2 linked regions of the Caenorhabditis elegans genome follow. The protein of the gene in region 2 purifies or fractionates together with the protein of the main gene of each other region. This does not show direct contact. Each region holds a gene or a part of one and is shown on either strand. Other genes may lie near its edges.

Region 1 (3,757 bases), on a different chromosome or scaffold from region 2:
AAACATATCAGATTAAACGTTGCGGAACTTGTTTTCCAACTTTTTTTTCAAAGTTTTTTCTTCAAAATTTTTTATTCTGAATGACGATCTTAAAATTAGTCAGAAGCTCTGTCTGATGTGAAGCGTGAGAAAAAGTCGTAATGACTCTCTATTTGGAAGTATAATACTCAAAACATTTCCAAGTCAACACAAAGTTCTGCCAGATCATTGGAATATGTCCCGTTGACTGAATTGCACCTGCCTAGACTAATGATTAGGATTTTGATCTTATTTGAAAGTGCTGCATGCTATGCAATTACTCTTTGAAGTGGAAAACATTTCCGAATCTTCAAATATGTTTTCAGGTTCAAAATGTTTTTTTTTCTACTTGAGTATCAATTATGTGCAGAAATAGAAGGGATTGGAAAAATTTGTTCTCAAGATTTGCATTTAGTTATTTTATTTATTTTTCCTTCTTTTTCCTTCTTTTCTTTGCTAGACAAAACATACACCCCGCCAGACATTCATGCCGCCTTCCGGTTATCAGCCAGCCACCCACCTAGATTCGAGATTAACTTGTTATCCATTTTTTCAGAATAACACCAAAACACGAACACTTGTTCCAATTCTCGGTGGGCTGCTAAAACAATATTCAGCCAAGTAGTAATTATGTGGAGACCAGAAGTCTAAGTGTCTACAGGTTTTTGAAACTTGGCGCTGCTCGAAAATAAGTCCTTATCTGAGACAATGATCAGTCTCTGTCTAGATATGGCTTTTGTTTCTCAAAAATTTACGTAATACAAATTTTAAGTCAGACAGAACAGAATCAAAGTGGTCTCTGAAATTTTGTTTATTTTGTTTATTTTCACATTCTGCTAGAATTATTAATCTCATAAAAATTCTGACTTTTGATAAAAATAAAGATTTCAGATTAAAATTGAACTTAGAACTTTTCAAATATTCAAAAAACTCAAAATTTCAAAACTAGGTAATTTGTTTGAGCCTGAATTCAAAAAATTCATTAAAAACTGACTATCAGAAAAAAACGAGACCTTTCCTCATTGTATTGTCTTGTGTTTTTTTAAATTTTATTCTTTATTTCACTTTCTTCAGAGGCCAAAGCCGCACCGTAATCAAAATTAATTAATTTAAAAAATTAGACAACAAAATTTTTGACAAATTCAAAAAGTGTTTTTCAGTCATTTTCGGTTATTTCGGGGCATTTTCCACTTTTTTATACAGAACCCCTATTGTCGATACTTCTAATCAATATTTTAAAAAAATATTTATTAAATCTCGTAACAAAAAAATCAAAAGCTGTATATATGAATGCCTCAAAAAATGCTCACAATTAGCAACTATTGCAAACTTTTTCCAATTTCAGAACTATTTTGGTATTTTTCAATTCTAAAGCGGCTAAACATTGTTCTGTTCAGAAATATGTAATAGATTCATTCAAATATAAATATCAAAAAAAAATAGTTGTATTCATTTTTTTTCCATCTTAGCAAGTACCAATCGCGTATTCTTCCAATACATTAAATCAAATGAAAAACCACAGACAGCACAAATATTGACCCTCTTTTCAAATCTTGATATGGAAAATCCTAATCTTTTTTCAAAAAGTCCAAAATGTCATACATCACTCTTAAGAAGTTCTTAAGTTCTGCTCCACCCATTCCAAATCCCTTTGCATTTTCAGAACAGACAAACCAACCGAATTATCAAATTATCAAGCATATTAGGCTTCCTTTCACATTTTCATCATTTTCACTTCCGATATTTTTGCACATTTTTTGTTTTTCCTGAGCTTTACGCTATTCGCAATTTTCTCAAGAGGGTATGACTTTCTGAGTCATTTTACTCATTTTACTCATTTCTCATATATATTTGACTCCAATTTTTGAAAACGAATTTTGAAGTCGCGCGGGATAAAAGATACAATTTCTTTGAGATAACATTTGTTTTCAAGAGGATTGAGCTTTCTCGGAAGCGACGAAAATTAACCATAACCCAATGGAGATAGACTCCACCCACTTCTCATCTGATCATTTATCGTATTTTACACATTCAAAAATAGGCGACAAGAATCTTCTACTCTAATTTACTGTACTCTCACTGATTTCTGTACTAAATATGCAGAGCAGCAGCAATATTTATATCGATCCAAGCGTTTGTTTATTGCTTAAAGAAAATACATTGCAAATACTGAGAAAAAGAACTTTCTTTTTTAAACAAGAATCAGAAATACGAATAGAATTTAACAATAATCCAATTTCTAAAATTTCAGAAAAACTTTAAAAGTTAGGCCCGATTGGAAAATGCCAATTTTTCCCGTTAAACTGGGGAGAAGGAAAACTTAAGCCTAAACCTAAGCCCAAAGCTAAGCCTAAGCCCAAGCTCACGCTCGCCACTGACGCCAAGTCTAAACAGGAACCCCCTGAAAAATAAAAAAAAACGGAAAATCCTAACCCTAAATATCGTCAGTGGTGACGCCAAGCCTAGGCTTAAACATAAGCCTAAGTCTTTTTAAAACCTAAAAACCTTTTTAAAACCAAAACCTAAGTCTAAGCCTAAAGCTTAGCCTAAGCCTAAGCTTAAACCTAAGGATAAGCCTTAGCTTTTTTTAAAGTCAACGGCTTCGTCATTATTAACACATCAAAAAATGTTTCGTTCTGTGTTTCAAATTTCGTCAAAATTATTTGAATAATTAGAAAACCCTATCTCCACTCTTAAAAAAACCTTTAAAACTCTAATAAGCTTCCAGAAACATAAATTTTCAGATGTATCCCCGGTACGAGTATGCGAATCTGGATATTTCCAGTTTCGAGCGGTCCCCCACATTTGAGCAGCCTCCAAGTTATCCAACATATGATCAACATGTTCAGTTCTTGCCAGAAATCGTGAGCTTAACCAATTTTGCCAGCTCTGCAAATTCAACACATTTTTCAGGAAAACAATGGGCCAAAACAAAAATGTCGGGTTTGCAATCTGGAAGCTCATGGAATGCACTTTGGAGTTCAAACTTGCCGGCCGTGCGCCGCATTTTTCCGGTAACAATAGGTGTAACTATTCACATTTTTTCGGTTTAAATTTGAACTAATCTTGCATGTCATTGTTTTTTTATTCAGAATTCTCTTTGTTTTCTCTTTTTCGTTTTCTATGTTTTCGCAAACCAATGATATTATTTTGTCAGTCCGTTCATATTCTATCACGCTGCGATAAGTTTCAAACAGAGAACAATAGGTGTCACGAGCCGACAGTGGTGAATTGGTATCTAAACAGACATATTTCACAATAATGAATTAGGCAATTTACAAAATGAATAGTTACTCATACTCGATTCTCAGACGTCTGTGCAAGTAGTCAAAACAGTTATTAGTGGATTTACAATAAGGTCTAAACCCGAAAGAAAATTTTATTATGAACTTCTGTAATGTAAAGCATTTTCAAATGATAAAACTGCCCAGTACAGCTTATTAAACGATCAAAGGAAGTTATCAGGTGCTTCACTATCAATTTTGTTCTAAAACATTTGAACTAAAATTTTAATCTGGAAATTGTTTTCTAGGCATATGTGATTCAAAAGTTTGAAGAACAATTTATGCATTTTTTTCACGTTTAAGGATACGGTAAAGTGACCATTGGGGAATTGATTTTTCAAAATTTTCAGCCAAAGTTTTGGGAAACTTTCAAAATATCTATACTATGAAAGCGGCTTTAAAAAATTTTTTCTTGAAACTCTAACTTTTTTTAAATTAATTTCAGTACCCGGAAT
Region 2 (3,757 bases):
TTTTTCCTCCAATCTTTTTAAGAAGTTCAACATCAATCTGAAGATGACGTGGCTGCTCCCATGGGAATTCATTGTGTCCAAAGTGTCCGTTCTCAGCGGTTGGTTCATAAATTGGTTTCTTCAAATCGAGATCCCTGAAACTTTACAATTAACAAAAATATTAGTTTGTGGCTGACATACTTAATAATCATTCCAGGTCGCAAATCAAAGTTGTCATTGACAATTTTCAATAGTTCTCCTTCGTTCAACGCAGATGTCCCGAAAGAGAACACCATCACTGAAAGTGGTTTGGCTACTCCGATTGCATAAGATACTTGAACAAGACAACGGCGACAGAGTCCTGATTTGACAAGTGACTTGGCAACCCAACGAGCAGCATATGCGGCAGAACGATCGACTTTGGTTGGGTCTTTTCCAGAGAAAGCACCTCCTCCGTGAGCTCCCCATCCTCCGTAGGTATCAACGATGATCTTACGTCCAGTAAGTCCAGCATCTCCCATTGGTCCTCCAATAATGAATGATCCACATGGATTGAGATGATAGATGGTCTTGTCGTCGATGAGATTGGCAGGAATTACAGCTTTGATAACCTAAAACCGAACAATAAATATAGCTGTATTTTTATTAATATTTTTAATTACCTTTTCGATGAGTTCCTTTCTCAAATCATCGAGACTGATATCTGGAGAATGTTGGGTGGAGATAACAACAGTGTGGACGCGTAGTGGGACACATGCTCCTCCTTCCGAAGCATATTCGATTGTGACTTGGGTCTTCGAGTCCGGACGAACCCATTCGAGCTCTCCAGATCTACGGAGCTCGTGAAGCTTCCGGTTCAGCTTGTGAGACAAGAGAAGAGTCAATGGCATCGCTTCTTCGGTTTCATCAGTAGCATATCCAAACATAATTCCTTGATCTCCGGCTCCGACATCGTCACTATCCTTGTCCACGTGGACTCCAGCAGCGATTTCAGGTGATTGTTGTTCGAGTGCAACAAGAACATTGCATGTCTTGTAATCGAATCCTGAAATTGAATACTGTATTTAATCAATAAACCAAGAAAATGAGATTCCTGACACAATGTGATGAGCCAATAGTGTAGAAACGAAATTATATTCTTCATACCTTTCGAGGAATCATCGTATCCAATTTTCTTAATGACGTTTCGGACGAGAACCTGGTAGTCGACGACAGCTTTCGAGGTGATCTCACCGCACAACATGATCATACCCGTTTTAGTCACCGTTTCTGTAATCAAAGTAACCGTTGTAACAGGTAAAGAAACATATTGTTGCGATAAGCTTCAGCCCCGTTTCCCGCATCATCCAACACCCGTAGAGCCTGAAATCAGAGACATGAATAGGCGATAAATGCAAAAGAACTACAGTGAACGGTACGAGTTCACTGTTGATCCTTCTGCAAATCAAATTCACAACACAAATATCAATATCATGTTAACACGATGTGTGTGTACTGAATGTGACCGCCTGACTTCCATGTCTTCCGCCGAATCTCTGAACGTTGTTAGGGGATAATAATTAGGACTTTTGCTCATCGCAGTTCCATATTGTTGTTGAACTTTCGCTGAAGGATATCAAGAAGTCCTGAACCACTTACCACATGCAACCTTTGCGTGAGGATCTTGAGCCAAATGAGCATCAAGAACAGCGTCCGAGATCTGAAAATAGAAATCTTCGTTTGAGAAATGACGCGAAGAATGGCTGACATCAAAAATATATACGCATTTTCGAAACCATGAAACTAAAAAAAACCTGGCACCTTATTAATGTTTCGTTGGTTACTTACCTGGTCACACATCTTGTCAGGATGCCCTTCAGAGACAGATTCGGAGGTGAAAAGGAACTTGTGTTGCGACATTTTGTTTGGTTGTAAGGTTGAAACACTTCGTCTGAAAATAGTGGTTCGGTTTGGATTAATAAATAGAAACGGAAAGGGAAGAAGGAACGAATAAGAGGCGGAGCACCTCGTAGCAAAACGATCAAGTTGAATAAACATTATTTTTTGCAAATAAAACTACTGTGAAATGTTTGAAATGAAACATTTGAAGCCATAATAGAGCCCAAAACTGAAAATTAGAAAATCGATAACTAGCCACATACTCCCAAACTCAAATAGCTTTTGTAAATAATTGTTTCGAATAAAATAAAATTTCTGGTAATACAAAGAATCCGGATAACACATGAACATTTACAGAAATATCTGGAGAAAGATTATATATGGCTCGGAACTTTGTTGAGCAGTTATTTTAGCGAAAAATTAAAATATTCGTGTAAATTTAATTAAAATTCTTGTGAAAATTAGAAACAAATATGCGAAAAATGCACAAAAAAAAGGCCCAAAAAATCCAGAAATTGTCAAAGTCCGCAAACACCGTGAGCAACTGTCACGTACAATGCCCAACACATTACGACACTTGTAAAAACACTTTTTTCCATTTTCTTCATTTTCTATGCAAATTTCTATAAATCTGCTGGCTTTTTTGAATTTTCGTCGCATTTTATTCGAATTTTAGCCGATCCTTAAACTAGAATTTAACAGCTGTCTCACGGATGGCGATAAATGTTCTAGATTAGATCTGTTTCGCTAATTAGAAACTGGAAATATCTGAAAGCTTTCCCCTATCATGAATAGATCGAAATAATCGAGATATGAGATTCCTAGATATCGGAATTAACAAGAAAAGTTACGGAAAAATATCGAATATCGTATTAATTGTTTTTTCTGCTTGATTAGGTTTAAAAAGGCTTTAAAATCCGTTTTTTTCAGTGAAAAATCACTGTTCTATTTGAGATATAATTTATTTTTCTATTTAACCCACGTGTTTGTTAAATACGATTAAACATTTTGGAAGTAGTTTCATCATTCTTACAGTTTCTCGATAATTGAGCAAAACACCATGACAAAAAGCAAGTGAGACTACAAACTTAAAAGTACAAGGCCAATTCTTATTTACCAAGTTGCTATTTGTTCTAAATTAGAACCTGTTTTCTTGATTCCTTTGCTTTTTAAAGTTTACATTACTGATAATGGCTACTATAATCCGTTCCTAAAGTCTAGAGTATTTGCTTTTTTCATGTTGTGGAAACTGAGCTTCTGCGCTTTTACAAAAGGGCAAAGTCTATTGATTTTCTGCAAATTGAATAGTTTCATGATCATATATCCATTAGCACAATTACACTGTTAGAGGAAATAAAAACAAATATGAATTTGAGGAGAGCGATGAAAATCGTATGATCAAACATAAAAAAGTATGTCAAAGTTTTGCAATAACTTTGTTCAGGCCGATTTTGCCCTCTCGACAGCTTTTTTTCTTGCAAACGATGTTCTGCACAATAGTATAGGCTGGGAATGATCTTGTTGCAATAATAATACTTTTAAAAAGAATTGAGTAAAAACGTGATAACATAGTGAACTCGGCTATATCCACACGTGAAAACGTGAAATTTTATCAAAATTTCTCGGAGTGCATAACATTAAAAAAAACATTGACCGTTTCATCGTCGAAGAGTGTAAGTGAGTTGTCTTTATCTGCTGAAGCTTTCAATAAGGTTCAGCGAGACTTCAATTCCGAAGATTTTTTGTCCGTGTTCCCGGTTCATCTGTACAATCTTCGAACGCATATTTCGAAAGTTTTAGACATTTATTTTTCTAGATTGTAAACGTCGCCTGTCTTGTTCTCTAAGACTTTTATATATTTTTCCTTATCTCGATTTATGTTCTTCAAAAATATGACAGT

The links. The genes of interacting proteins can lie anywhere in the genome.
Region 1: the proteins of sams-3 (region 2) and nhr-216 fractionate together in Caenorhabditis elegans (co-fractionation; one large-scale study listed by BioGRID). This does not show direct contact.

The regions. Positions count from the first base shown.
Region 1 is NC_003283.11:5,357,231-5,360,987, reverse strand, and holds the start of nhr-216 (Nuclear Hormone Receptor family), read left to right. Parts: upstream 1-2,115; coding exon 2,116-2,151; intron 2,152-2,762; coding exon 2,763-2,882; intron 2,883-2,931; coding exon 2,932-3,032; intron 3,033-3,757.
Region 2 is NC_003282.8:5,846,809-5,850,565, reverse strand, and holds the start of sams-3 (putative S-adenosylmethionine synthase 3), read right to left. Parts: upstream 1,910-3,757; 5' UTR 1,879-1,909; coding exon 1,807-1,878; intron 1,762-1,806; exon of another isoform or gene 1,727-1,761; intron 1,679-1,726; coding exon 1,618-1,678; exon of another isoform or gene 1,249-1,617; coding exon 1,126-1,248; exon of another isoform or gene 1,025-1,125; coding exon 642-1,024; intron 591-641; coding exon 181-590; intron 135-180; coding exon 1-134. UniProt on the Caenorhabditis elegans protein: Catalyzes the formation of S-adenosylmethionine from methionine and ATP. The reaction comprises two steps that are both catalyzed by the same enzyme: formation of S-adenosylmethionine (AdoMet) and triphosphate, and subsequent hydrolysis of the triphosphate.